Kluyveromyces lactis: one gene and its partners. The protein of the gene in region 4 binds, or shares a complex with, the protein of the main gene of each other region. Links are inferred from orthologs where the notes say so. Each region holds a gene or a part of one and is shown on either strand. Other genes may lie near its edges. The genes, in order: BET1, UFE1, USE1, SEC20 and SFT1.

Evidence for each region.
Region 1: SEC20 (region 4) and BET1 share a complex: the UniProt entries of both Saccharomyces cerevisiae proteins name them as parts of the SNARE complex. The link is inferred for Kluyveromyces lactis from reciprocal best matches to the Saccharomyces cerevisiae genes SEC20 and BET1.
Region 2: SEC20 (region 4) and UFE1 share a complex: the UniProt entries of both Saccharomyces cerevisiae proteins name them as parts of the SNARE complex. The link is inferred for Kluyveromyces lactis from reciprocal best matches to the Saccharomyces cerevisiae genes SEC20 and UFE1.
Region 3: the proteins of SEC20 (region 4) and USE1 are in contact, whole or in part, in a cryo-EM structure (PDB 8EKI), measured with the Saccharomyces cerevisiae proteins. The link is inferred for Kluyveromyces lactis from reciprocal best matches to the Saccharomyces cerevisiae genes SEC20 and USE1. Residues at the interface, in NP_010786.3 of Saccharomyces cerevisiae: Asp14, Leu17, Asn18, Leu20, Gln21, Cys104, Leu107, Ile109, Val110, Leu112, Lys114, Tyr121, Val125, Glu126, Leu128, Asp129, Leu132, Gln133, Asp136, Trp137, Tyr139, Cys140, Tyr141, Lys144; in NP_011417.1 of Saccharomyces cerevisiae: Asn23, Arg26, Arg27, Val30, Thr31, Gln33, Leu34, Gly35, Ser37, Asp39, Phe46, Gln50, Gln54, Phe58, Gln62, His65, Asp66, Lys69, Ile70.
Region 5: SEC20 (region 4) and SFT1 share a complex: the UniProt entries of both Saccharomyces cerevisiae proteins name them as parts of the SNARE complex. The link is inferred for Kluyveromyces lactis from reciprocal best matches to the Saccharomyces cerevisiae genes SEC20 and SFT1.

The regions. Positions count from the first base shown.
Region 1 is NC_006040.1:1,197,227-1,202,805, reverse strand, and holds BET1 (Bet1p), read right to left. Parts: upstream 2,478-5,579; coding exon 2,034-2,477; downstream 1-2,033. Other genes in the region: protein disulfide isomerase EPS1, read left to right, coding at 1-1,836; iron-sulfur cluster assembly protein CFD1, read left to right, coding at 2,884-3,735; VAB2 (Vab2p), read right to left, coding at 3,760-4,605; YEA4 (Yea4p), read left to right, coding at 5,120-5,579. UniProt on the Saccharomyces cerevisiae protein: SNARE required for targeting and fusion of ER-derived transport vesicles with the Golgi complex.
Region 2 is NC_006037.1:695,597-701,712, reverse strand, and holds UFE1 (Ufe1p), read left to right. Parts: upstream 1-3,534; coding exon 3,535-4,524; downstream 4,525-6,116. Other genes in the region: SGO1 (Sgo1p), read left to right, coding at 204-1,988; CDC21 (thymidylate synthase), read right to left, coding at 2,149-3,087; ribosome dissociation factor GTPase HBS1, read right to left, coding at 4,601-6,116. UniProt on the Saccharomyces cerevisiae protein: Syntaxin required for targeting and fusion of Golgi-derived retrograde transport vesicles with the ER.
Region 3 is NC_006042.1:637,812-643,783, forward strand, and holds USE1 (SNAP receptor USE1), read right to left. Parts: upstream 3,233-5,972; coding exon 2,450-3,232; downstream 1-2,449. Other genes in the region: SRM1 (Ran guanyl-nucleotide exchange factor), read right to left, coding at 1-132; snoRNA-binding rRNA-processing protein ENP1, read left to right, coding at 800-2,236; ribosome biogenesis GTPase LSG1, read right to left, coding at 4,120-5,972. UniProt on the Saccharomyces cerevisiae protein: SNARE required for targeting and fusion of Golgi-derived retrograde transport vesicles with the ER.
Region 4 is NC_006039.1:1,041,506-1,047,637, reverse strand, and holds SEC20 (Sec20p), read right to left. Parts: upstream 3,293-6,132; coding exon 2,204-3,292; downstream 1-2,203. Other genes in the region: myo-inositol transporter ITR1, read right to left, coding at 1-790; NDJ1 (Ndj1p), read left to right, coding at 3,791-4,777; ERG24 (delta(14)-sterol reductase), read left to right, coding at 5,152-6,132. UniProt on the Saccharomyces cerevisiae protein: SNARE required for targeting and fusion of Golgi-derived retrograde transport vesicles with the ER.
Region 5 is NC_006038.1:1,173,720-1,179,293, forward strand, and holds SFT1 (Sft1p), read left to right. Parts: upstream 1-3,379; coding exon 3,380-3,415; intron 3,416-3,552; coding exon 3,553-3,810; downstream 3,811-5,574. Other genes in the region: AUR1 (inositol phosphorylceramide synthase), read right to left, coding at 1-229; RPL14A (60S ribosomal protein eL14), read right to left, coding at 1,083-1,370, 1,834-1,962; CAP1 (Cap1p), read right to left, coding at 3,936-4,724; ESCRT-0 subunit protein HSE1, read right to left, coding at 5,137-5,574. UniProt on the Saccharomyces cerevisiae protein: Vesicle SNARE required for retrograde transport within the Golgi complex.

The DNA of each region.
Region 1 (5,579 bases), on a different chromosome or scaffold from region 4:
CAAGTGGATTGTATCGAGTCAGGAGACTTATGTATGAAAGAGGGTATTAATTCATACCCTACCATCAGATTATATGGACCAGAAGGCTTTATCAAGGCATTTCCCAGAGGTTTGGAACGGACTGAAACAACTTTGCTAAATTTTGCAAGAAAGGAAGCTCTGGATGCAGACAATCTGGATATCACTAAACTATCGAGCAAGAGTAAACTGTTGAATGATGGTGAGCTCTTGAAGATTTTATCAGAACCTCAAACTGAACCATACTTTGTCTCATTTTGGCCAACCTCTGATTTTGAAGATATCGAATCTTCTTATCAGTTCAAAAACTGTGAAGACTGTTCGCTTTTTCAACGGATTTGGAAGTTGGTAAGTAACAAGGCTGACTCGATAGGAATCAATACGGTACATTTCAACTGTGTGAATCCGACAGATTCTTCAAAGAATGAAGCCATTTGTAGGGAGTTGTCCTTCGATACTTTGACTCAGAAGAGAAACTCTAGGTTAGAAAGAGCCCCGGAATTTGCATTGATCTTACCTAACCGCAAGAGTGGTAGTTTTATTAAGTTCCCATTTGGTCCAAAGCGTGTCGATAGCGAATCCTTGATTGATTTTGCTACAAGAACTTTACACAACAGTAACGTTCCAAATATTGATCAGGATGAGATCGAAGCTTTTGTAAAAGAACCAAAAAGTGACATTTTGGAAGCAAATGCCGAAGCCGATAAAATATTGCTTGTATTTAATTATAACCCGGAAACTGTTGTCCCTGAGGATATGCAATTTTTGGAACAACTCATTGACCCATTGGGATACATCCCTAATATTTACTTGTACAAGAACACTGACGACCTAAAGAAGTTAAGCCATACTCTCTATCAAACTCTGTACAAAGATTATAATACCGATCAACGCACTGAAATTAATGAGGACCATTTTATCACGACATCCATTACCCAATCACCAACGTTCTTCATATTCAAGAAATCTACGTTTACTCCGATCATATTCCCTGGATATTCAACAACTGAAACCAGAAATTTGGACTTCATCTTGGATTGGCTCACTATAAACTCTCTTCCAACTGTCACTGAGATTACATCCAAAAACTTTGAAGCATTAAAAGGATTTGAACAAGATTTCTATGACAAGTTGGTAATTCAATTGGTTAATAAGAAGAATAATAAGTTTGAAGAAGGTTCAAAGAAAATCGTCGAAGGCCTACGAGTAGCGGCACATAGTTATGAAATATTGCGTAACGAGGCGGTGTACGAAGGTCTTAAGACGGCCAGAGAAGAAAAGAAAAAACTGGTGCAAAAGCTTAAGAACAAAAACGCACCATCCGTTGATATAGTCACTGCCATGAGAAAAGAGATAAATTACAGTTATAATCACAAGGTCATATTTGCCTATTTGGACATTAATGAATCCCCTTCTCTCTTGAATAATAAAGGTCTAAATGTTTACTTCAGGAAGTTCAAGACTGGTGATATCATTGTCGTGGACAAGCAAAAAGCCATCTATTACGAAAAGGATGCTTCTGGACAATACATCACCCTAGAGACGTTGCCCGAAGTCCTCTCCATTCTGAATTTCCCCGCAAGACACCCTGATCTTCGTATTGAACGCATCTTTTTGAGAACTCCACTCAGTGGATTGCTCAGATTAATTGACTACCTCCGCGAATTTAGCGGAATCAATTACTTATTTGTTGTGGTGACATTCTTGGCGTTATGGAAAATACCCAGAACCATTCATCATTATAAACTGAAAAGACGTTACGCTGCAAAACGGGATACTCATGGTATCCTCGGGAAGGAAGCTAAGCTCATGGATTGAGGAACAGGAATTCTTCCTATAAATAATCTTATATTTCAACCTAATACTGATAGTTACGATTTATTAATATATCTTTTTAATGGTACATATAATGCGTGAAGGAATGCGTTTAACCAATACGAATTAGATATACATGCTCGATGGGATACTCTTCAGTACATGACCCTTTTGTGGTTTTTTATTTCGCTCTCGCTCTCTCAACGTATCCAGACGTAGAAGAACAAAAGTGTCAGAACACCAAATATTATGAACCATATTTTTAATGGAATGCGAGAATTCTGAGCCATCACCATCATTCTCTTGAAAGTCCTTTTCAAACGGTTGCTAGTCTGTTCAAAAACGTTTCCTAACTGATCTAAGGTCTGATTGCTACCACGAATCTCATCTCCCATTCGTAGAGATAAATTCTTTAGTGCGTTGATCTTTTCACTCATGGTATTCATTTGTTCATCACTTTGAGACTCGAGCTGCGAAAGTGTTGCTTGAGAATAATCTACCCCTGGGGATGGTCTATCAAACGGCGAACTTGGTCTATCCTGTTGTTGTTTATACTTAGAGAAGTCAGTACCCGCAAACAATTGCGTCCTACTCGCATCTCGCTGTGTCAAATCACCTTGCATTCCACTATAGTTTGAACTCATACCTTAATTATTTCTAGTGCCTCAACAATAAAATACAAAGTGTAGATTTGTCAAGATACTCAGATCTAACCATAGGGAATTAAGTGCAGTTTCACCTTGGAACTTCCTAGTCCATCTGTAAGCTACTACCAAATCGATTCGCTTAACGAAAACTTTTTGTTGAAGTTTAATCACGTGATATTGTCCTCGAAGGTTTCCCCTTCGCTCTGACAAAGGTATCATTATCATCATGAAATCCTAGTTAAGCTAAGAGTTAAATGTATTAGTCAACCTACTGTTTAAACGGCTGAGAAAAGTATTTGCAGTATACCCTTTTATAAGTATTCTGTCCACTGTGAGCATATACAGTCATATCTGCAGTGGCTGGTACGTTTAGTGTCCCAGGATCATAATCAATTGTATCTCGATGTCAGCTGAAACCGAATTATTGGGTATGCCTGAGTCCTTAAAGGACATCAAGCACATTATATTGGTCCTTTCTGGTAAAGGTGGTGTTGGTAAGTCATCTGTCACCACACAGACAGCATTAACTTTATGTTTAAAGGGATACAAAGTGGGTGTTTTAGACATTGATCTAACTGGACCGTCGTTGCCTAGAATGTTTGGTTTAGAAAATAAACAGGTTTATCAGGCTTCTAAGGGTTGGATACCCGTTAGTGTTCCTACGACATCAGGAGGGGAATTGAAACTCATGTCCTTGGGTTTTCTTTTGGATGATAGAGGTAATAGTGTGGTATGGCGTGGTCCTAAGAAAAGTGCTATGATTAAACAATTTATAAAAGATGTGGATTGGGGAGATTTGGACTATTTGATTATCGATACACCGCCCGGAACTTCGGATGAACATATATCTATCGCAGAAGAGTTGAGGTGGGCTGCACCTGATGGTGCTATTATTGTTACCACGCCTCAAGGTGTCGCTACGGCAGACGTGAGAAAGGAAATCAATTTCTGTAAGAAAGTCAACTTCAATATACTCGGTGTCATCGAGAATATGTCCGGATTTATATGTCCTCATTGTGCTGAATGTACAGATATCTTCTCTAGAGGAGGCGGTTTCAAATTAGCCAGCGAATATAACGTTCCGTACCTGGGGAATATTCCAATTGATCCGACGTTTGTCGAGTTGATTGAGAAACAGACTGGGTTCAAAGAGAGCTTAGTTGATCTCTACAAGGATTCTGGATTGTATGTCATTTTCTCAAAGATATTAGATAATGTACTGAACGGTGAAGTAAAAAGTGGAACAGATCAATAATGGGTAAATTTGACATGAAACTTTTCATAAGTCAGCCGATTTGCTCATGCCTCGAGGTCTAGTGAACGGTTCTGTGATACATATATGCTCAAGAGTTGTAGCGATTGATGGCCTTGATGTACTCCGGATTGATGACAGTGCTAATGGCGCCGAGGATATCGACTGACGGTACGATTTGGTGGTGTTTGAGTCCGCTGAATTTCCTTTGGTACTATGATAATCTTTTTTAGCATTATTTTGGCTTCCATTTGTACTTTGCCTCGAATAAGAGCTGTTCAAACTCTCGGAATTAGCTTCGTTCTGTGACTGCCCACTATTGTCCTTATTCGCTTCGGTTTCTGTCGTGTTACTACTCTCTGGGAACCTTTCTTGCAACAGCTTTGAAATTTTGCTGAATTGCGTCGCATCAACTTTTATACTACCGTTTCTAGTTACGTAGTCTAATAATTCTTCATTCACATCTCTGATTATTCGTACCTTCTTATCAATGTCAGAATATTTGCTTTCGAACTGTTTTAACTGTTTATCCGAATCCTTAGTGAATTTTGATCGTAGTTTTACTAACTTAGAAAAGCTAGACTCTAGTTTTTTTACCGAGTGGTTGATCTTGTTATTTACTTCTTTCGTCTGCGATTGTTCTGTATCGATTTCTTCCTGAAGTCTCGAATAAATTATGGCAACATCGTCACTGATTTGATTTACTTCCTTGGCCACATTGGAGAATATATGATCTTGTCTCAATGAAGAGGAAGAGGGAAGCAAAGGCAATGATTGCAACTGTTTAGAATAATCACTCTTTTCAATTGTCGCAAAGTGGAAGCTCTCTCGCTTCCTCAGGTGCTTCGAATCTCCATAGAATAGGAAACTCATCTTATAGCAGTTGGAATCTCAACCTTCAAAGAACCTTAAAGTTATTGATGGCACTGGGTCAGTACAAGTATAAAAATTTTAGCCAATAAATAATGGTTCCTGAGTACACTAATAGTTTAGTTCAACTGAGCCTTTCTCGCTGTTCTTTCTCTGACAAACGTGCCCTTAATACGTTGGTTTAATGCGTGTCTATTTTAAGGTTCGCATTTATGGTTCTTAAACGTTTTTTCATATAAAATTCAGGCAACCTCTTTACAATACATGTCATCATGAAAGAAAGATTGTTTAAGTTGATTTGAAATCGTTCCGGATGTGTAGTCTAGGGGTATTCATGGTTACTGAATTCAATTGGATTGATGAGATTAACTCTATTGGATTCATTTAAAGGTCAATTGATTGCTAGTCCTTTTTTTCCTATTGTCGATTGAGAGAGTTACTATATATATAGAAACCATTCCATGTGTTGAATACCCTTACGTTGACCAATTGATCTCATAATTTCATTTCTTTAGTAATGATAGAAATATTGGCTATTTTATCGTTGTTTGGTGGGTGCTGTTCCAATGTATTGAGTTTAGAAGAACTTTTACTAGATAATAAAGATCGGTTGGGAAATGTGGTCACTTTTACACAGTTTATATTCGTTATCCTAATTGAACTGCCGAAGTTTGTCAGCTTAAAAGGGAGGAAAGTCTCAATAAAACCCTGCAAGATACCGTTCTTTATCCATTCAACGTCAGCGTTGCTCTTTTTCATTGGATCTGTTCTTAATAATAACGTTTTCATGTACAACATTTCAATTCCATTACACATTGTCATCAAATGTTTGAGCACCGTAAACACCATGATTTTCAGTTCAATAATTCTCAAAAAGAGATATCCTTTTGCTCAAATTATAGCAGCACTCATGATGACTTTTGGGGCCATAATTACCTCTGTTTTCAGGTCTACTGAAATTACGTCGTGGCATAACT
Region 2 (6,116 bases), on a different chromosome or scaffold from region 4:
GTAGTACTAAATATGATCCGGGTAATCTTGTTTTTTTGTGTTTACATCGTAGAACAAAACGTAAACAATGAAAACATTCAAAGCTTTAGATCTCATTCAGCGTTTAAATAACCTGTTCATTGACTGAAAGAAGAGCGATTCCTAAGTCTATAGGGACCCGAATTGACGGCGGATAGTGTTACTAAGTTTTGTGAGAGTGCAACATGAGCGCTTCTTCGCAGTACGATGAATTTCAAGCTATGCTTGAGCAACAAAAGGGAATTTATTTACAGCAGAACAGTCAGCTTGCGAAATATAATTCCAGTCTTATGATGAAAATCACTGATATGGAGACTAAAGTGAGTGAATTGGTGCAAGAGAATGTTTCCTTACGGTCGCGGCTTTCTATGGGTGAATTGCGCTATCGTGAGAAGCTCAATACTGTTTTCCAGACGTTAGAGGACGGAATTGTAGAAAAATTCTTGCAAATGAACCAATTGTTGACCACAGTACGGGAGAGCCAGGGTTTAGAATCAGGTATTCATGATAACCCTCTTAAACCGATTTTGAGAGGCTCGAATGGTATAAGCCCGAGATCTGCGAAGAAAGTGGAGTTTACTGGTGCAAATACCACAACGAAACCAGTTGGGTTTGAGGATCCAATTGCGGAAGATAACCATGAAAATAGCGGGAATAGTCTCGAGCTGAATGATGATGAGGTACGACCTCTGAGAAAGAGGAGGCGTAAGAGTTCACGGAGAGAGTCGTTGTTCATTCCTGCAGATTTCGAGTTTAACGATGAGGACCCGGAACTAGAACTGAATCAACTGCCGATAACTGAGGATGAACCGCCGCCTAGTACTGCAGCCACCTCAGTACCTGAGGAAGAGTCTCAGGAGAACAAGCATACAAAAGAAGAGCGTGAAGACGAGGGAAAAGAGAATGTCTCTACGATACCTTTGGTACCGGTCCTTCCATCTGTTACTAACACAGGCACTGAATGTAGCAATACCAATAAAAATAATACTACAGAAATGGAAACTGCACTTGCCGAAGATGATTCTTACAATTTCACTACATCAGTCATTGAATATTCCATTCCAGAGGAAACTTCAACTCACGAGCATTCACATATCCTACTGGAAACGTCGAAATCGAAAATTGATGTATACAACGACAGAGAAGAGACAAACAACAATGAGGCTGATGACTCAATGAATATCGTCCAGTGCACAATCCCATCACAATCGAAAATTAAACATTCCATGAAACATCCTAGGACGAAACTGAAAGGTGGCCAAGATGATATTATGCCCCACACAGATTACGATAAAGATGATGAAAAACGAGAAAGAAGGACTAGAGGCAAAGCTGTCAACTATAAACTCCCATCACTACGTGCTAAGATGCGTAGACCCACTGAAAAATTGGTGGATGCCACAACTGTCACCGATATTCATGATTTACAAGTGAAACGTAGAAATAACCAACAACAGGGAATACCGTCTGATGACGATGATCAGGAAGAACTCTTAGTGCCTGCTGGCGTACCTGACACAAATGTCGTCATTGCAACAGTGGAAGAAGAGAACAGAAAGGAACCACCGGCTTTACCATTACATGAGATTCACCTTGCACAAAACGTTAAACCTAAAATCGCTCTGAAAGAATTATCAGCTAACGCTATCAACAGAAAAGTTAAAACATCTACTGCCGTAAAAGCAATAAGCCACACTAAATCGCGAGTGCTTAAAGATGTCAAGTTCAACACATTGCCCACAAAGCAACAAGCTATTGAAAACAACTCGTCCGATCCAAATGTATCTGATGAAAATGAAAATAGCAACGTGAAACCGACAAGAACTAAACAGGCTACTTCAGATCTAGCAGCATTTGAAATTATAGATGGAATTTCTCTGAAACATGTATCCAGGACACATCGTGTCAGAGCAAAAGAAGACATGAACAAAAAACGTAAAAGAATTCATAATGACGAAATAAGCATATGATAGAACTACCTCAGCATTCAACCCGTCCCATACCAACATTCGATACCAGCATATGGCACATATCATATGAATCTTTTTTTTTTTCCGGTATTTGAGCATGATATAGATAATATTAAGTACATACATTAGATAGACAAATGATACCAATTATCCATGATCCTCAAACGCTCATCTTCATTTGAATCTTCCCATGAGGGTTATAGTCAGTTATTTCGAAGTCTTCGTATTTGAAATCGTCGATATCACTGACATTTCTCTTTATCTTCAATTTTGGGAAAGCTCTTGGCTCTCTGGCAATTTGTGTCCTTAATGCATCAACATGATCTTTATAAACATGCGCATCACCCAAAGTGTGAATAAATTCACCAGGTTCCATATCACAGACCATAGCAATCATCTTCGTCAGTAGCGCATACGACGCGATGTTAAAGGGTACTCCTAGACCCATATCACATGATCTCTGATAAAGTACACATGACAATCTTGGTTTGGCACCTTCTCCCTTGGGGAAACTGACGTAAAATTGCGAGAAAACATGGCATGGCGGTAAAGCCATCTTGGGGAAATCCGGAGGGTTCCATGCAGAAAGAATTATTCTTCTGTCGTATGGATTTGTCTTCAACTTATGAATAATCTCCTTCAACTGATCAACACCTTGACCACTATAATCATCATCACATGTCTTATATTCGGCCCCAAAATGTCTCCATTGGAACCCGTAAACTGGTCCTAAATCCCCCTCTCTTCTGTCAGTCAACCCAAGTGAGTCCAGGTACTCACGAGAACCGTTACCTTCCCATATCTTAACGCCTTGTTCTGATAATTTCTTCCCGTCTGTACATCCAGCAACAAACCATAAGAGCTCCAAAATAATACCTTTCGTAAACACTCTCTTCGTAGTGAGAAGCGGGAAAGTATCATTGCTCAAATTAAACCGTAACTGTGGAGGCGCAAAAAGGGAATAAGTCCCTGTACCAGTTCTATCTGGTCTGAATTCTCCCTCATTGATAATCCTTTCACATAAATCCAAATACTGCTGTTCTTCCGCGTTAACAGCCTCAAGCTTAACTCTCTTCACGTTTTCATCGCTCAGCGTCATGGTTGACAAATGTTGGTTGTTTAATGATCCGATAAAACGCCAAAGGAGTCGAAGGATGGTTGAAGTAAGATAGAGTTTAAACTAGAGATGGCCTTTAACTCTTAAAAGCCGTAGTCTGATTCTTAACGCGTTTTCGTGTTGTGGGAATTTTTCAATGGCCGGGTAATGATGGTGAAACAATGTCACGTGCTACCTAAATTCTTAATTCCATCCTCGATGAAGCTTTGGTCTGGCAAACGAATGCGAATCAAATTTAACCAAAGGTTACTTTGGTTAAGGAGGTACCGTTCTACTGGTAATTATACTGTCTATTAACTGTCCAATTAGAGGCAACTATCGTGTGTGTTTACCCTATCTAATCTGGGACTATAAGCGTTCCTTGTTCAAGCTTTTCTATGTTGAGTAAGTGTCAAAAAGAATATATACAAAGAAAGTGACTACCTTAATATGAGTAATAGAACTGAGCTCTTCAAAAAGTACATGCAAGTGATTGCAGAGACTCAGGGAATTGATGATGCTAGGAACGAATTGAATAATACGAAAGCGAGAGAGGATAGAGAAAAGGTGAAGGAAAAGTTTAGTGTAAAGGATACTTTTGTAAAAGAAAGTAAGCAGTTGATGAAACATATTATGGAATTCCAGATAGTGATAAGGCAATTGACTCCCAGGTACGAAAGTGCTACTGACATGACTGATCAGGAGAAAGATGATTTTGATACAGAGAGCAAACTTCAATTACAGCAATATTTCGAGAAATATAAGCAATTGGAATCGTATGAAAGACAGAGACAAGAAATGATGAAAGAAAAGTTAGAGAAATGGTCCGCAACCGTACCATTTTTCTCTAGATCAATTGACGATGTATCCAGTTTCCACAAGGTGAATAATCAATTTCGTATGGGTATATTACAGTCATTGAATATGTGGCTCATGAAGATTTCAGATAGGTTGTCAACCATTCAGCAGACACGATTATCCAGACAAAGACATATCGAAGCCATTGATTTCAATGCTCAATTACACTTACCTGAAGAAATTTCTGTATCACAGTCTCCTATGATAACGACAACTGTTGAAGAAATCAAACAGTACGAGGAAACGATGTCCAAACTCTCTTCAGAACAATTACAAATCTTGGCCACAGAGCATGAAGAACTTCTTAATTTGAAGAACGAAGAATTACAAAAAGCAGAGGCACTACGGAGAACCGCAGTAGATATTGCATCGCTACAGAGTGAATTGGCTACACATTTGCAGGTTCAAACACAAAATATTAATACATTGCTCGATAATCAGACTGACGTGGAGATGGAAATGGAAAAAGGTAACAGACAGTTGAAACAGGCCAACAGGAAAGGAGATAGGCTCGCTAACATGGTCATGTGGTTTGCTATAATTTGTGGACTGCTATTGTTATTCTTCGATTACATAAATTAAGGTTAATTCGTTTCTCTCTGTTGCAATTGCTTACTACACGGTGATACGTAATGGTGTATATATGTACGGTAAGTTTTTAATAATCTAAAGATTTGATCAACGCAGCTCCGATTGTTCTTCCCTCCTTTCTTAGAACCACCCTTCCTAACTTCTTATTTTGCTCGAATGTTAGCATTGGGATTCTTCTTTTTTTCTCCACCAGCTCGATCTCAACTATGGCAGCTTGTTGAGAACCCAAATGCTTCACTTTCTTTTTTAAAACCTTAGATGGATTACTTTTATCGACAGTACAACACAATTTTTTGATTCTACAAGGTTGTTCTGTAGCACCTCTAAAGAGCATGAGCGAGGTACCAGGTAATAACGGTCTATCCAGCCTGAAAGTCAAGAGTCTTGAGGTAAATTCTTGGGAGCTTGGGATATCAAATCCAACGATAGATGCCAAATCACCACCTTGAATATCTTCAGGGAAGGCGTTATGCAACTTCAATTGGACAAAGTCTCCATGTAATGCAATATCCACTTTTTGAGAGTCATTGCCGCATAATATTGAATCAACAACGCAACTCTGCTCAGATGGATATATTGTGATAGTTTCGCCCGGTTGAATAGTACCTGATTCTACTTTACCAGATATAATGGCGGATGTATTTTTGGAAGTTGGAGTGACATCCAAAATGTTGAAGAGGAAAGGCTCTTTGGTAACACTTTCATCAACACATGCTAGCTTCAAAGCAACATTTTCAAGTTCCCCAACGAGACTTGGTCCCTGATACCAAGTTTGAGATGGCGGATATGGGGTTTTGAAGATACCCTCACCACTTAACCCGCTGCATGGAACCCAGCTTACATCGTTACCTTTGAAACCGATTTCTTCGAAGAAAACAGCCAATTCTGATCTAATGTCGTTAAATCTACCTTCGTACCACGATACAGAGTCCATTTTATTCATGGCAACAACGATATGTTTAATTCCGAGACTTCTGGCTAGCAATGCGTGTTCTTTAGTCTGACCATCAAGGTTAAAACCTGATTCAAATGCATCGGTTCCACAGTCTACTGAAAGAACAGCGACATCAGCCTGTGAAATCCCAACAATTGCATTTGGAACAAAATCTCTATGACCAGGAGCATCAACAATGGTGAACGAACTTTTAGTAGTGGCAAAATCACTAGTACAAATGTCAACGGTAACACCCCTATTTCTTTCCTCTGAAGTTTGATCCATGACCCAAGCAAGATGGAATGAGGACTTGCCAATCATTTCACTTTCCTTTTGCAACTTACGAATCAATTTTGTATCAACAGCACCAACGTCGTATAGTAGACGTCCCATCAATGTGGATTTTCCTGCATCAACGTGACCTAGAACTACAAAATTCAAATGAGGTTTCTTGTTGTCGAGGTAGGAAGAAATATTGATTGCATTTTTAGGTTTTGTAGGAACACTCACCTTCTTGTAAGTCTTCACAACAGGCTCTTCAAAAGGTAACTTCTCATCATCATCGTCATCGTCATTGATATCCTCTTCTTTTTCAACAGTTTTTGAACTTTGTTTATCTTGTATAGATAAATCAGCGACCTTTTCTTTA
Region 3 (5,972 bases), on a different chromosome or scaffold from region 4:
TGGAACAACAGATCTATACAAATGTTTATAATCATCTTGAGAATTGATGCTAACAAACTTATGATTCAAAGTAGAGTGTAAATGCTTCCTTTTAACTGGAGTGTTCGCTACACTAGAAGATCTTTTAGACATGATTTCTTCAGTAACTGGTGGTCAATTAAAAGATTAATTGGAAGGGCCTAGTCTAATGTTAATTGTAACTTTGCTAAGATTGCAAGGAACGAAAAAAACGGAAATGAACACTTGGTTTTTGATCAATCGATAAGTACAACTCAAGGGAGAAGCTTGAGTGAACAAGAGACCAGCAATGTGTCACCACGCATATGAGATCACATTACACTTGATCCATTGTTAATTATATATACGTAAAACGAATCTAAGCTGCAGTTGAAAAATCTTTCCAGATTTTAAAGTCACGTGCAAAACAAACAACATTCTTTGCCTGTAATCATTAGAAGAACATAGCTCTTGGCTGTTTACAGTAGCTTGAATTTGTGTTCAACGCTGTGGCATATCTGTTTCAATCACGACGATCCCGCTGCCAATGCTCCAGAGTTATTTAATTGAACCTTTGACTTCTCTAAACAGAGTATCTCTAGCCTTTCTTTTTCTGTCCGTGCATTGACTGAAAATTTTTGGGATTTGAATAAGTAACGATGAGATGAGAAGCGATGAGATGAGATGAGATGAGATGAGATGAGGTAAATGGCAGATAACAATCACAAAATTACTCATTAGTGTCTGCTTTAGTGCTCAGAATACGACTAGTGATACAAGATTTATTTGTTCTACGGAGAAAATGGGTAAAGTAATGGGTGGCAGCGGTCGTAAACAGAGACACGATCCTTTATTGAACGATCTTGACTCTCAACATGGTAAGTTGAAAAGACAAGGTAAGAAAAAGATCGATGCTAAGGATCAAAAAGGCCATGAAGATGAAGAATTTGTCGATGCCCAGCAATCTAGAAAAATTTTGCAATTAGCTAGGGAACAGCAGGAAGAATTAGAGGAAGAGGACGAGCAGTCTCTGCAGACATCCAGCCAAGGAATAAACAGATTCTGTGTGGCCAACTATGCGGATGAAGATGATGTAGCTGAGGAAGAGGAAGCTCAAGGTAATAACATATCTGACTTTGAACCGGAAGATGAAGACGATTTCGAAGGATACGAGGAGGAAGAAGTGGTAGAAATTGACGAAGAAGATGCTGAAATGTTTGACCAATATTTCAAGACTTCTGCTGATTTCAACTCTGCCAATGGATCATATAACCTTGCCGATAAGATTATGGCTTCTATTAGAGAAAAAGAGATGGAACTACAGTATAATGAAGAAGAAGCAGGTGATGCCTCTGCAGTAGCGGAACCAGCTGCACCTGTAGATCGTACAGAAGGTGTCGCCTTACCACCCAAGGTGATTCAAGCATACCTTGCCGTTGGTACCATTATGCAGACCTGGAGACATGGTAAACTACCCAAACTATTCAAAGTTTTGCCTTCTCTAAATAACTGGCAAGATGTTCTCTATGTTACTAATCCAGAGGAATGGTCTCCGCATGCTATATACGAAGGTACTAAACTTTTTGTTTCTAACTTATCATCTAAAGAGGCCCAAAAATTCGTTATAGCTGTGTTGTTACCACGCTTCAGAGAAGAAATTGAATTTAACGAAGATCACAACTTAAATTACCATGTCTACCGTGCATTAAAGAAATCATTGTATAAACCGGCTGCCTTTTTCAAAGGGTTCTTATTCCCACTTGTGGAATCCGGTTGTAATGTTAGAGAAGCTACCATTGCTGCAAGTGTGTTATCCAAGGTCTCTGTGCCAGCTCTTCATTCTGCTGCAGCATTGTCCTACCTTTTAAGATTACCTTTTTCCCCAGCCACCACCGTTTTCATCAAAATTCTACTCGAGAAGAAGTATGCTTTGCCTTATCAAACTGTTGACGAATGTGTCTTCTACTTCATGAGATTCAGAGAAGTCACTGATGGAAGTACAGGCCAAGATGCCGTCAGAGTCTTACCTGTGGTATGGCATAAAGCTTTCTTAGCGTTTGCTCAACGTTATAAGAATGATATTACCCAAGATCAAAGAGATTTCCTACTTGAAACTGTTCGTCAAAGAGGTCACAAAGAAATTGGACCTGAAATCAGAAGAGAATTATTAGCCGGTGATAGTAGAGAATTTGTCAGTGATGTTGGTAATAAAGCTGATTTAATGTTTGATGTTCTGTAGTCAATAGTCCTATAACAATATAAGTGCCTGTCAATTTTAAACAAGTGTATAATATGCAATTATAGATAAGACAATCAATAGAATCAATCTATTCGATAAGTGGAAACGGTATCAATTAATTTCATCGAATATTCATGAGTCTATTTTGTACTTTGAAGCTTTTGAGTGAAGCAGAGCCTTTATCTAAATCTTGGAGATTTTAGCGGAAGACACTCATAAATCTGGAAATACTTTTATTACAAGATAGGTGACCAATAGACCAATTATAATAAACGATAAAAGTCCTAACTTCATTAAAAATCCAATTTTTTCATTGTGATACTTTTTCAATCTGGATCCGAGTGAAGAAAGGCTCTTAGAAGTAACATGCAATCCGATTTCTGCTGCCTTAAGAACAGTAGAGTCGTGTTCGATAGCATTCTGGAAAGCTTCCGCACCTTGTCTTAAGCCTGAAACTAGCTGGGACATGTCTTCAACCAGTTCCTTCTGAAGATCATCCTGAATTTGCATTTGTTTGTCAAATGATTCACCCTCCGTATCAGCGCTGTCCCTTCTTTTACCCATAAGCCTTTGGCGGAGCTCCTTCAAAGAATCGTTGTCATTAATTGCTTCAACATTGGATATTATATCAACATCGTCCTCATCTCCTATAGGCACGTCGGGCGTTGCATCGAAATCAACACTATATCGCCTTTTCTTTTGAGATTCCTGATATGCATCATATTTCTGTTGCAACTTAGAAGCTTTGGAGAAACTGATAGAGCTAACCGATTCCTCTAGTCTGCTAAAGTTTTTCTGGTATCTATCAATAGCATCAGAAGACGGATCATCCAAGTTATCCTTTATAGCCAGTTTTCTCACGGTATTTAAGTTTGTGGCCAGTTTTGTAGATATAAGATAATGGTAAAAAGGGTCTTCGTCATCTTGAAAGAGCGAAAGGTCCCTGTAATAATTTTTGCGTAGTTGATCACTTAATGTGTCTAAATCTGTCGTCATATTCCGTCAGTTAATGTCCTTTAACGAGGCGCTATCCCTTTTTATTTGTGATTGGAATTGTACTAAGTATTATTTTAAAGGCTATATTACATTTTGTTTTATGTCACTAAAATATTATCCCAAACCTCAATCAAAGAAATAACAGAGCTGTCTGAATGAAAGTCATTCACTCTGAAGCATGACCCTTGCCAACCCTTACAAAAGCGCATGTAAGAAAGAGTGGACCGAGTGCTACTTAATGTATCTACCGATGGTAAGTATAACATAAGGCTGAACTTGGTTAACTATTGCTAAATCTTATTGATATACAAATTCATACGACTCTCATAATATTTCAGAGGAAACTACTGAACCAATTAAATGGGTAATATTTCCGCCCACCTACTATCAAACTACAAACTGTAGGAATTCAGTTGTTGTTAGCGAAAAGGGCGTTAAATGGGAGTATCCCAGCTCTGGGCATCTTGAGCTTACTTCTACATGCGTGGAATAAGTCTGCGCCATGATAACCACAACGCGAACCATAATTGAACATGCCGAAATGTGTTTAAGAGCCCTTGTTTGCTGAGCTAGGAACCAAAAAGATAACCACAAATGACAAGAATACTTATCAACTGGACCATGTACTGAGGTCAAGTATAAAGTAAACCAACTTTAACCAAGTTTTGTATCCTTTTCTTTTGGTTCATCAAATTTTTCAGTAAACACCGGGTAATGCAGTGACAAGTTGCATGCTAACCATAGGTCTTATAACCGGAAGCAGGGCAGCTAAGGAAGATATAAAGGATATGCAGTTACATTTCCATAATGAATGGGGATAATAGACTGTGCAAACAGTGGATTTATATATATATAAGAGTTTAGGATGAATTTAGATAGTACTTACATTAATCGGAAAACATGGAAGCCTTTTTCTTACTCTTCTTGTTCTTCTTGTTATGCTTCTTACCATTTTCGTTGGCGACGGTTTGCTTATGGAAAGGGTTCGTAAGTCTGCCTTGAACACCGTTCAAATGGAAGAAATTTTTGTCAAGTTCATCAGCTACGTTGTACAAGGCTGCTTGTTTACCACCATGGTTGACAGATTTAGCTTGTACTTTATCACCATCACCACCAATATGAGCAGAGAACGTTAATCGACTTAAATCGCGAGCAAGATCCAAATCTTGTATACCTTTGTGTTTGGCAGCTTCTGCAAGTTGCTCTTGTCTGTTGATAGGTAATTTACTGAACGTGTATAAATCTTTGTTGAATTCCTTACATTCTTCTCTGGTATATGGCGTATCATCGTCCATGTGAGGCGGTGGATTAATGTACAGGAGTTTACCGTTCACATAATCTTTGAGAATGTAACGAGAGGCACGAGATTCATCTGCGGCACCAAAACCTTGTGTCATATAACCACGAGCTCTGGCATAAGCAACGAGTAATTCTTGTGCAGTTGGTACTTCACCATTCCCACCCTCTTCTACGGATTTGGTCTGAATATGGATACCGTAAATGGCTTCCAAAAAGTATTTAGGGACCCTTTCTGCCACTAATGTCGATGGCCCAATATAGTCACGTAACTGATCGATCGGTAGAACACCGTTACACACCAATTCACCTTTATTGTATGCAAAATTAGGGAAAACTAGACCTGGACAGTCGCATAACGTTACCTTATCAGATAACTTGATAGTTTGGAAATGTTTGGTCTTACCAGGGGTAGAAGAGACAGAAACTTTCTTGGCACCCACCAAGGCATTTATAGTGGAAGACTTACCAACGTTTGGATAACCCACTAGACCTATTTGTATGATTGGCTCTTGACCGGGCAATGGAGGAAGTAGCGGATCGTTTGGCGCTTTATCTAAGAACAATTCTTCAAGTTGATCGATCTTCAGTATGTTAATTTTATCCAGAATTTCTTTGTTCACTTCTTCCCCATCAAGTTCTTCAATTTCTTCCTCTGTAGCCAGTATTTCCTCATCGTCCTCTTCTTCAACGTATTCATCCCCTAGTTCCTCTTGTCTCTCTAATATTTCATTAGCCTTGGCAGCAGAAAAGAATGTAAAAGAGATGCCCCTCGAGAGAAGGTACTTGGCCCAAATAATACGTTGCTTTCTTGTTAATAAATCCGCTTTGTTGATCAAAAGTAAATTCTGTTTCCTGTCATCCACTTCTTTCACATATTTCTCTAAATCTGTGGATCTGAATAATAATGGATCTCTGGCATCCACGATTTGGACTACTAGATCACATCGCTCAACAACTCTCCACAACTGCCTCCAAACTTCAATGTTTCTCTCGAATGGAGTCAATAACAAATCCTCGTTGTCTTCTTGCAAATAGGCTAATTTACGTCTCCATTCCAAGAATGCTTCCTTTTCTAACCTTTCTAATTCAAATCTGGTCATAGATTCATTCCACTTAGGCCTTCTTGGGACAATCAACTCTCTAGCATGTAATCTCTGCTTCTCGTTGATCTTACTTTTCTGCTCATTGGTCAAACTAAATCCCTGGGATGTGGCTGCATCGGCACCGTTATCCATTCTGATGATCTTGACATTAGAATGTCTGTCCGCTGTGAAATCCTTGTCTGCTAACTCAGCAGTACTCAAAAATTCATCTAATGCAGATTCCTGAGTAACAGATCTCAATTTTACCCAATTAGCTTCGTGCTTATCGGTAGTGAAACGTTCTTCACCATCTGGCAAATACTGCACTTCATTTTCCTTACGTCTTGCAGTTTGAATTG
Region 4 (6,132 bases):
TCTTTTGTAAAACTTCTGCAGCCTTCTTATAGTTACCTTTTATCACGTAGAAACGCGGAGTGTCTGGCAAGAAGCTGAAGCATGTAAATTGCACCACAGTTGGAATCAAAGAAAGTCCGACTAAAATTCTCCAACCGTTATGAACTTTATTCAACCCAGCACCACATGCATAAGCGATCAATTGACCACCTGTTAGCCAAAGTGAGTTTATCACCGTTAGTCTACCTCTGATATGTTTTGGTGCGATTTCAGAAATGAATAATGGCGCTAGTAACGACCCAATACCGACACCGAACCCCATAATTAATCTACCTACTGCCATTTGCCAAAATGAATGTGCACTAACCTGCAACGCAGCACCAATGACAAAAAGAATATTAGAGAACATTAGACAAGGTTTTCTACCAAAAATGTCGGCAGAAATCCCTGCAAACACTGCTGAGATTAAGGCACCCAAAGATGTTGCAGCTGTAATTATTTCCTTATCACCATATGTTAGAGCTTTATTATCCAAGTCCGTACCTATAGAGACCAATGCACTCGATATATAACCAGTATCATAACCAAACATGAAACCAGAGATAGATGCTGTAAAGGTCAAGATCAAGATAAACGGAGAAATCTTTTGGTTGAAAGTAATCATGACTGAAGTGTCATCTTCATCATTGACCGGTTTGATAATGATTCTATCCGTGGTTTCATTTTCAGATGAGTCTTTCAATTTGCTTTGAGAGATATCATCGAAAATGATGGGAGAGACATCACTGGAATGCTCTGAAGTATCGTTCATTTTTGTTATTTTCTCTTTTTGATAGATGGGGAAAACAAAAAGCCTTCTGCTTAACCTTTTGAAACTTATACAGAAGCGAATGTTTAAATGTTTCCAAGGAGTACTGACAGTTGATATGACAGTGTTGTTAAGTGTTTTCAGGAAGAAACACTGCTTATTCTTTTCTTTGGTATCTAATCAACTGAAACAAGATAACGTCCGGAAACTAGAAGCTATTGTAAAATTGAAGATAGATGGAAGGTCTTTTCTCAAATCTTTTAGTCGCGTTTCCTTGTGGAGTGTGTCTTAATGATCGTTCTGTGAAAGAAAGCCAATGCAGAAAGGATAATCAGAACAAAAAGCTAACGGAACTACAACACCAAAAATGCAGCACTTATATAACAAAAATAAGCAAAAAACTTTGACGTAGTTTTGAAAACTCGTAGTAGGAAATCAGCGAAAAGAGAGAATAAAGTTCAATAGAAAACCCTCGAACAGAAACCGAAACAAGCACTCTTTAATTTCAAATTTGTTCTTTTTATTTCTGTAATAAAAAACAACCTATCAACCAACTCTAAAACGTAAACAGAAACCCGTGTTTAGTTTCTCCTTTTTGACAATAAAATGGTCTTTTACCTGATAAAGAAACTGATTCGAAGAGGTGATTCTTTGTGTTTCTATATGACCTGGCTGTATGATCCTTGAAACTTTACAGAATTTCTATATCATATATTTTTCTCTCCCAGAATACCGAAAAGATGCTCAGAAGGGACAAGAAAATCGAAAATTGTCATGAACGCACTATATTTAAATGGTTTTTTCTTGCAGAGAAAAACAAAGAAAAATTCAGGCACAAACAAGACTGTAGAGGAAATAGCGGAAGACGAAACATAGATACTGAAAAGAGAAAGGTATCCATGTTTGATGTTTATCCAACTCGCAGGGGGAAAAACTACATCGTCGGTCTCGAAGAGTTCGTTCCTTGTACGCCTTTCCTTACCACGACAAGAAGGAGATACGAACCACGTCAAATCTAGATAATGAAATTGCTATTAACTAAACTTAAATGCATTTAACCTAACGAAGGCAGTTTAGCCTTTTTACCGAATTGCGCTATCGGCGAAAAGCCTATTTTAGTTTCGGCGAGATTTTTACCTCAGTTATTTGTTGCTTTTCGAGAAAATGTGCAGAATGATTTCCCTTTTCGGCGATACCACGGTGCATGTTCGGCGAAAATTTTTCAGGTATTCCCTTTGTTTAGACACCTTCGTACGGTATGGAATATTTTCTTCTCCAGAACGACATGTGAAAACAAAACACAAATACACAAGCACATGTAATGGCTCGAAATTAAACAAATCACGTGATTGGAACTCTAATTGCTTCTGGATTTTCAACGGGCTCTTACTATTTCCCTAGATTACTGTTTTCCTTTCATAACTCGTCCATTAGCTTATCGAAACTATCGCTGATTGCTTGAGATACATCTAGAGATGATGTGAGTTCTGTTTCTGTTTGTGACAATACCTCCTTCAGAAGACTTGTTGAGGAGGAAGCTTGGTCTAAAATAGTATCTGTCACTGAGGAAATTGCAGAAACCACTGTGGAGCTGGAAGAAGCTTGATTTGGGGACACAGAACTTTTCACTATCCCTACAGTGTATAGTAGCGATTTGAAGAATTTGAAACATAGCCAGAAGGTAAATTTAACTGGATATTTGAATATTCTTCTCCATAGAACCCACATTATACAACCACAGAAAAATGCAATTGCGGCGTACACTTTTTGTTTCTCTTGATAGCTGCTGTTGTTAATGGCTTTAATGAGTTTTGTTGAAGCCTGTGACATTGCCTTGAACCTGTCAAACTTATCATTCACTAACATTAAGGTATCCGTCTGTTGTTTCAACTCATCGATATTCAATTCGCTCTGTAACACGCTGCTACGTAAGATTTGGTTCGTACGAAGTAGATTAGACGTGATTTTCTTGTTTACTTGTAACGTCTTACCCTTGATATTAGTGGCTGTATTCGGTAGCTGTATGCCGTTTGTGCTTCCGTCACGATCTATCTCTGACCTGTTCAAATCAGAATCAATGGAAGTTGTACTGCCTCTACGTTCCATGAGTTTACTTTGCAACGCATCGCTCAACGTTTCCTTGAGCATCATACGTGATTCAATTAAAGAAACCTCGTATTTCTCTATTAGCTCTTTCCTAAAATCAACATTTTTCACTAGTTCATTGACTTGTTCGATCCATTGTTCATCATGCTTATCGACTCCGCTCGGTTCTCTCTCTATCGTGAATTTTGGCTCGTATCGTATTCTCACACCATATTTCAGTTCAATTATCCGCTGAAAGCTACGGATCATATCTTCAAACGTAAGCAATTCACTCACAACCTTATCATCAAGGTCTTCATTGGTGTTAGAACTTTGTTCTTCCCTGAATAAACTCTCATAAAACAAAGAGTGCAAGAGATTTCTTTTAGCTTCTAATGATTCTCCAGATACTAACATCATTGCTTATCTTCTTATTTTCTATGTGATTATACCATAAAGATGTCGGATGCTTTTCAGGTTCAAAACCTTTACGACAACTTTTCTGTTGCTGCTGCCGTTACTGCTATTGTTGAAATTGTTATTGGTAAATATCAAGTATTGATCTTTTTTAGACTGAAGGATATGTTTGGTTACCCGGATACGTGACAATGGCGCTAGCCTTGATTTATGGAGCACTTGTAATACCGACCCTAAAGCGAGTTAGTTGATTTTAAAACACGCATTCCAATGACACCTTTAACTTGATGTAGGTAGAAATGCAATACTATAAAAGTATCTTTAATTAAGGTTTACAGTTGAGCTTTTTTCATCATTCAATCTTTATATGGGAATTTAGCAGTTTAAAATTCAGGTCAAAGACAAAAAAATAGAAAAAATGTCAGTAAGTATTTATCATCTTCATTTCAACAATCAGTAAAATATAAAGAAATCTATCTTAAAAACCCAAACCAATTCGAAATGAGCGAATTAGACGAGTTTTATGACTGTAGTAACAATGAGGAGACAGTTTGTTATGTTAATTTGTCTTTATTTAAAGGATCCCATCTGATTGCGGACAATTTTGATCCAGAAAGGATATTGCCGCCGAGCTCATTTATCAAAACTTTGAGAACTAGGCTTGCTAGGGAGTCAAGAAATTATAGTCTACTAGTTTGGTTGTTAAATTGTCCAAATATAACCTTAACTCAACGATCGGAACATCAAAAAGAACCATTTCAAGTATTCGAACCACGCCAGAATCGACTTTATCAGCATTATTTGAATATACGACCATTTTCTTATGCTGATGAAAATATTTCAATGGATGCAACGTTGGTGTCAAGTGAATCTCATTGGCCGGATCACTACTCCTATGAGTGCTCAATATTTCCTCGCCTGTTACAAAAGACCAATTACGACCATTTTCAAATGAACAGATTATGTGAAGAGTATCGGCAACAGTTCATTAAAATCATGGAAAATTTCGAAGCTCAAAAACCAAGACATCCTAAATATGCCCAGATTTATCTTCAGCAAAATCTTGGGCTATTGACAAGGGCATACATTCGGGACTTATTCTATGATATTACATTCAAATATTCTGCTTGGTCAAATGCCAAGCGGCTGACAAGAGTGGAGCTTTTGAGGTCTTTACAAAGATATCATAAGGAGTACACCTTCATCATGAGCTGTGATCCGATTGATAATTTCACTGAAAAATTGGACCATTTAACTTGCTTAAATTATGCTTCAAAAGATGAGGTGAATGCCAAACTAACTTACGGAATTTGGATAAATGCAGAGCATGGACTTATACTTCTATGTAACGGTATCGCCCATAGCTGGGACCTTTTACAGATCCCTAGCCATAGCTATCAGAATGACGATAATATTACATTATTTGTGACAAAATATATGCTATTCTGCAATATGAGCGTTCTTGAAACCTGTTTGTGGTTTTTTTAGGTTAATGACATGCCGAGTATCCAGAAAATATAACATTTTTAGTGGATGAACCTGTAATAGCTCGTTTACTGTTCCGACACTGCCAAGGGAGACCTCGCTTATCATTTCAGTGATGACATACCTTACTTCTAATGGAGGTTAGCAATAGAAAAAAACCGGATTAGAGGATTGCCCAATGGTGCGTGTTAAGTAAGCGGTTTACATTCTCAAATAGAACCCTTGCATGTGTTCGTCGTTTAGCAATTTTCGTATTCAAGCATGAACCTTAAAAAAAAGAATAGTATAAAGTAGCGAAAAGTACAGAATTAAGAGAAAGAAGGCTAAATCACTTTTGCATTTAGTATATATTATTATTATAATGCGCTGAATACCCAATGTCCTTAGCAACAATGACAGCTTTAAATCCTAAGACCACTCATTATGAGTTTTCTGGACCGGTCGGAGCCCTTCTGATTTCAGTTTTCTTACCCATTCTAACTGTCATCTTGAACCAGTTGATCAGACCCGACTATCATATCGTAGGGCTATTCAGAAACTTTAGCTGGATCGAAGTTTGGAACAAGGTAAATCCATTATCCAGTTATCTCTTCAATGGTGAGCTTTGGACTTATTACTCTGCATGGTTTTTCTCTCTAGCAGTTTTGGATGTTCTCTTACCAGGCACGAAACTCTACGGTGTCGAGTTGAGAGATGGGTCTAAGCTACCATATAAGATTAACGGAATTGCCGTGTCAATGGCACTTACTTTAGTTTTAGCTGTCAGATATCAATTGACTAATGGTGAAATGCCTGAACTACAGTATTTATTCGAACATCAAACGGACATCTGCATAATATCTATATTGTTTTCTTTCTTGTTGGCTTGCTTCGTCTATATTGGCAGTTTCGTGCCATTATGGGGAACAAATGGCAAAGGAACTAAAGAACGTATTCTTGCTGTGGGGGGCAACAGTGGGAACATTTTGTATGATTGGTTCATTGGAAGAGAGTTGAATCCCAGAATTGGTCCTCTTGACATCAAGATGTTTGCAGAATTAAGACCGGGTATGTTGTTATGGTTTTTGATCAATCTCTCATGCTTACACCACAGCTATAGGGAATCTGGTAAAATTTATGACTCTTTGTTATTGGTAAATGTTCTACAGGGTTTCTATATCTTTGATGGGGTTTTGAATGAGGAAGGGGTGTTGACAATGATGGATATCACTACTGATGGCTTTGGATTCATGCTAGCTTTTGGCGATTTGAGTTTGGTTCCTTTCACTTACTGCTTACAGGCTCGATATTTAGCTGTCTCACCAATTGAGTTTGGCCTGCCCCATAGTACGTTGATTGTTATTATAATGTTACTAGGT
Region 5 (5,574 bases), on a different chromosome or scaffold from region 4:
GCAAAAGGGAATAGAAGAGTATCTTGAATATCCATGGTGCAGGATTTACAACAAATGAGAAAAACATTATACTCCCTAAAAACCCATAATGACATATATCTGTGGCTGAAGCATGGTAATTCTTTAGTTTCCGTATGCTTAATTTGGGATTAAAACTCGTTTCTAAATTAGCCAATCTAGAACCAGCCGGTCTATTAGCAAGAAAGGTTCGTTGGAACCAATTTGCCATTGTTTTAAAGATGCGTCGATTAGTACACTAAAAAACCAGTGACGCTAATTGGAAAAAACAATAACCAAAAAATAAAAAAACACGACTATAACAACGGCAATAGTTGAATATAATCTATCGTACGCTCTCTGATTCGTAACTCAGTGGAATGAAAGCTTCAATTAACGATATCGTCCACTTCTCTATATTAAAAAAAAACTCAACAAAAAAAAACTGTAAAAGCGTCTTTGTCCAATGCTTTCTTGGTATAAAGTAGTGAGTTAAGAGATAAAATAACAACTGCTTTCCGTAGTTTCTCAAAAACTTTTATTCTGATGTCAATAAAAGGGCTGACAACGATGATGTACCCTGGTTCACCCTTTCCATCTGTTTGTTATTTGTTTATGTATTTATTTATTTATCAATTATTTTGTTTTATTTCGATGCTGATTTTTTTTTGTTTCTTTTCCTTGAGAATCAAGAAACGTTCAACGTATTAAGAAACTAAACAATATAGGTCTAAAAGCAACAGTTAGCAGTTTAGAAACCTTACATACAAGTAAATCCTGATTACCGTTAATTTCCGACATGTTAATGAAACAAAGGACCTCGATGATGTAACAGTGTAAACACGAGTAATTTAGATGTACATTATATTATTGTTATAATAATATATACTGATAAGAGTTGAAAACCCTCACTTTAAAATTATATGTATGTATAGTGAGGATAGTCATACGCCTCAAAAGACTTTAAGGAAATGAGGAGTGAGAAATGTTATTTCTATGAAGAAAAGAGATTTTTGAATTTGTAATTGTTGCTAATGAAAGGAATTGGCAAAGCTTCATAATAAACCGATTAAAGTTTAAAAAGTTTAAGCCTTGGCAACAGCCTTCTTAACAGCGTATCTCTTTTGCTTCTTCAAAACCAAAACTTGGAATCTTTCGAAGTCAGACAAAGCAGCACGTCTTTCTCTTTGAGCGATCTTCTTAGCCCAGGAAGAAGTAGCCCATTTTTCAGAGACACCAGCAGCAGCCCACTTCTTTGAAACAGTAGCAGACTTAGCACCTCTTGGAACAGCAAAGGTCAATGGAGTCAAAACGACTTGACCTAAGTTGATAGCTTGTCTTGGGACACCAGTGGTTGGACCATCAATCAAAGCCTGGAAGGAAATTAAAATTAGACAAGTTAATGTCATGGATATTTTGTTAGTAAAAATTGTTCGATACGAGTTTATGGATAGAAACAAAAAAATAACTAGGAAAAGGACTGTCATGTTCATACCAAGTACGAGAGCCATCGAGTATTAACGACACATTCCTAACCTTACCAGAAGGAGGGAAAACAAACGTAGTCTAAACCTCTCTCTCGATGTCTGTTCAGTACAATAGTTTTTCATTCATTTCTCAAAGTATACTTTCTTTAACTCGGGAAACAGTTTATCATGAATCATTCTTTCCTCTTCCTCATATTATTCTTCGGTTCGATCCTATACATCTATGCAACTTTCCCAAATAAAGCATAAGAATACCAGATCGCAGTGTGATCGATATCTGTTCTTATTTCAAATGGAAAGATGGTACTGTACAGGGAATCTCCGTTTCATTATAATCTGTAAAACATACTCTCTTTTGGTCAATGATTTCAACAATAGTGGCCAACTTGCCGGCGGATTGGCCTTGTTTAACCAAAACAACACGGCCAACTTCGACCAATCTCCAGTTAGAAGCTTTAACAACAGAATCAGTGGACATCTTTCACTTGGTTCTTCTTCCGTTCTGTAAATCAAGACCAAACCTAATCTAATATAACGTAATAGTAAGTATTAAACCGTTATTATAGTATACCTTCAAATAGTGTAACAGATAAAGTAGTCAAACAATTTTGTTAAACCTTGGTTCCAAACTCAAACTTCCAACGCAGCCCTGTGTGTCTGTGCGTGTCTATCCGGTGAAGCTGGAATTCGCTATTGTCAGAATCCAGGACGCAGAGTACCTTGGAGTGCTTATTGATGAAAAAGTTGCGTGGGTAACAATGTATGTGGGCTACGGGTTTAAAATACATACCTATTCCAATTTAGGTATTATATTACAGGACGAATTCATTTTCATCCTAACACAGGCGCAACAAAATATGTAATGGTTGGGTGTTTAAAGGACATTATTGAAATATAATGAGATGTACAGGTGTATAAAAGGGCAGTCCCACGAAAATTGTTATCAATGTCCGCATGCTGATTGAATTATATATAAAGAGAGCGTATGAGATGAGGTATGCTGTTTGTATTCACACGATTAAACGGTGGTATTGTTAGACAGTTAATATTAGGATTGTGTTTCAAGTATGAAGCTTGTTCGTCACTTTAATAATAATAGTAACAGCATGAGCAGTAGCCACTGCTATTACTATACCTAGTTTTAGTGATGATTGAGATTTAGCAGCAGGAAGTATGGATTTGAGAAGAATTCTTATCATAATGTTTCGTGGTTTTGGGGTTCGCTTCTTTTCTTTTGAATGATGTTTTATAATTTGCGATCGAGGGCAAGTCATCTCGGGACATGCCTAGTTCCATTATGGGAGTCTTGTGGTATGCGAATAACTTTCGGTCTGACTATTATAGAAAAGAATCCTTTCATTACAACACATTCATTATAACTAATTCTTCTCTTTCTTTCACCTCAGCAGAGGTGAGGAGATAATTATCGTGTACTTCTGCACCTAGTCATGTTCCAATTGTGATCATACTTATATATACCACATATTTCTCAGGTATGGAGGATAAAGCGAACCATAACTATCTTTACGAGATGAAAACAGTTGCCTAACGTTGATTTCATATGAAAATTATAAAACTAACAAACACCAAGATCTACTCTGATTTCGATAATTATGGTTTTCGCTTTGTACCGTTAACAGCGTCATGTATAGTATTTGTATTCACCGTAGCTTTCTTGTACCTTTCGCTATGCTTCGCTGACTGAAATGAAATATCATTTCTAACGTGTTTTGAAGATTCAATTCCCATTATTATGAGCGATAGAATTGAAACACTGTCTGTACCTTAAAAGGCAGGATCAAAGTGCACCTCAGAGTTTATATTATAGCGAAACGTTCACATTTAGCAACTAGAACGCGATATAGAGCCACTCTTGCATAAAGTGAACTCTCACCATGTCGGATTCCAAGTACTCACAGGTGGAAAATGATGTATGTTCTACCAAAAAGACGTTTGATGGCAGAATAGGCTTGAACCTACAGGCGCAGTATCCTTACCGACTGTACGGTATGCAAGTGCCACTTTAAGATCGAAATTTACTAACGTAACGCTCAAACATTTTCTTTAGAATAATCAAAGGTTAGACGAATTGGCCAATAAACTATCTACATTCAGAAATATCAACCAAGATATTGGAAATCAAGCCGCAAATGACAGCTCCCTTATCGACAATATACAGAACTCATTCGGTCAACTTTTCCTTAATGTCAAGAACTCATCTACAAGGCTCCAGAGATCTATGAATGCCGGTAATAATATATGGCGTATGGTGGGTGTATCATTATTGTGTTTCTTCATATTGTACACGATATATAAGGTATTTTAAGAACCTTTTGCTTACTGACCGCAAGTACTCTTCTTTATAGGAAGAAGTTTGAATAAGCAGAAGATATTCGTTGTATATACACATATGTATACATTCAGGTAATGTAATGTCATAGCATCATCCTTTCATGCACCTTGAGCAGCATCTCTTCCCAATCTGTAATTACCGATCCCTTGTCCCCAGTTGATCTTGGCTCTAGTCACGGGTAATCTTCTTCTCAATCCCTTGAACTGTGTTTCATTCATGTACTGGAACTTATTGATGAGATTCTTTTCAAACTCGTTCTCAAACTGCTTGATGCTTACTATTGGTGAATCCGTCTGTGCTGATTCCAAGGAAGCAGTTGATTTGAAACGAACGTTACCGTCTTCGAAGTAATGAGCATCGACGGAGACTTCGCCAGAGATCGTATCCCCATCGACATCATACACATATTCTGATAACCAGTAACCAGTCCAGAAATCACCTAAACTTTTCTTGTTACTGACAACGATTATGGCATATTGGTCGCTCTCTGGAATCTTAAACACGTTGAACACAGCTGTATCAGGGAAGAAGTTTGAAACGTATTTAGACAATTCATCGTAAAGGTCTGATTGTACCTGAGTGGCATCTTCACTGGTATATTCCTCAATATCACTAGCTTCGCGGGTAATATGGTCTACGGCAAATAAAACCTTGTTTACTGGATCGAAATATTTACTTCCAGATTTATTGTATTCAGACACAAGATATCTCTCTTCACCCTTAGCAGCTGGCACTCTGTGCTTCTCATTGAATTCTTGGATAATTGAAGCAATCTGTTGCTTGCTTTGACCATCGCTTAACACTTGTAGATTATCGTAAACCAAAGAGATTTCCTCTGGAGGGGAATCGAATACAATATCTCTCACAATCTTCTCAAATTCAGACATAATATGATTTTCACAGTGTGAATTGATGTTCACCACAATTTACCTTAAAATGACAGGTTAATTGTCTCTAAATCCACTTCTTCACTGGTAGATTTTTGCCTATAACTGTAGTAAATTTTAACTTAAGAGTTCTTTACGATATCGTTATTCGTCTCATTTATTTTTTGAAAGAAAAAGGGACCTTAAATTTGAAGGAACCTAGGCTATCCATGACTTGTACTAGGGAAGAGCTGCAGTTGATTAATGACATGGAAGGCGCGTAAGGCCATGTGTTTTGGCAATATATTGAGATTTAAATACTCTTACAACTAAATAAACATGCTCTCTTGACGTATGTGCAAAGAAATAAGCTTATCATAGGATAGTATTTTTATATAGAAGTGCAGATTAAGCATGAAACAGAACAGATCCACTACTGAGCATTACTGTTAGAGCTCATGTTATAATGTTGAGGCATTTGAGGTTGCTGCGGAGGTATAGACTGCATTGACATACCGGTGTACTGAGGATATGGTGCCAATGGCTGTGGGATATGGTTCGTACCAGTATAATTGGTGTTACCGACTGAGCTCGCATAATTTTGAGGTGAGTTTATTTGACTCAAGGGCTGCTGAGTTTGTTCAGACTGTTGAATTTGTTGAGTTTGTTGAGGTAATGGATATGAATATGGCGGATTTGGTATGCCATTCATTTGCGTTTGTGTATTTGTAGGACTTGTGTATTGAGCAGTTGGTGACATTGGACTTTGTGGGCCTGGAGTTGGTGCAGGTCCCGTCATAGGCGCGGGCGGAGGCGCAGAATAAGCATAAGCATTAGATGCTCGACTTAGCAACTGGTTGTATGTGATTTC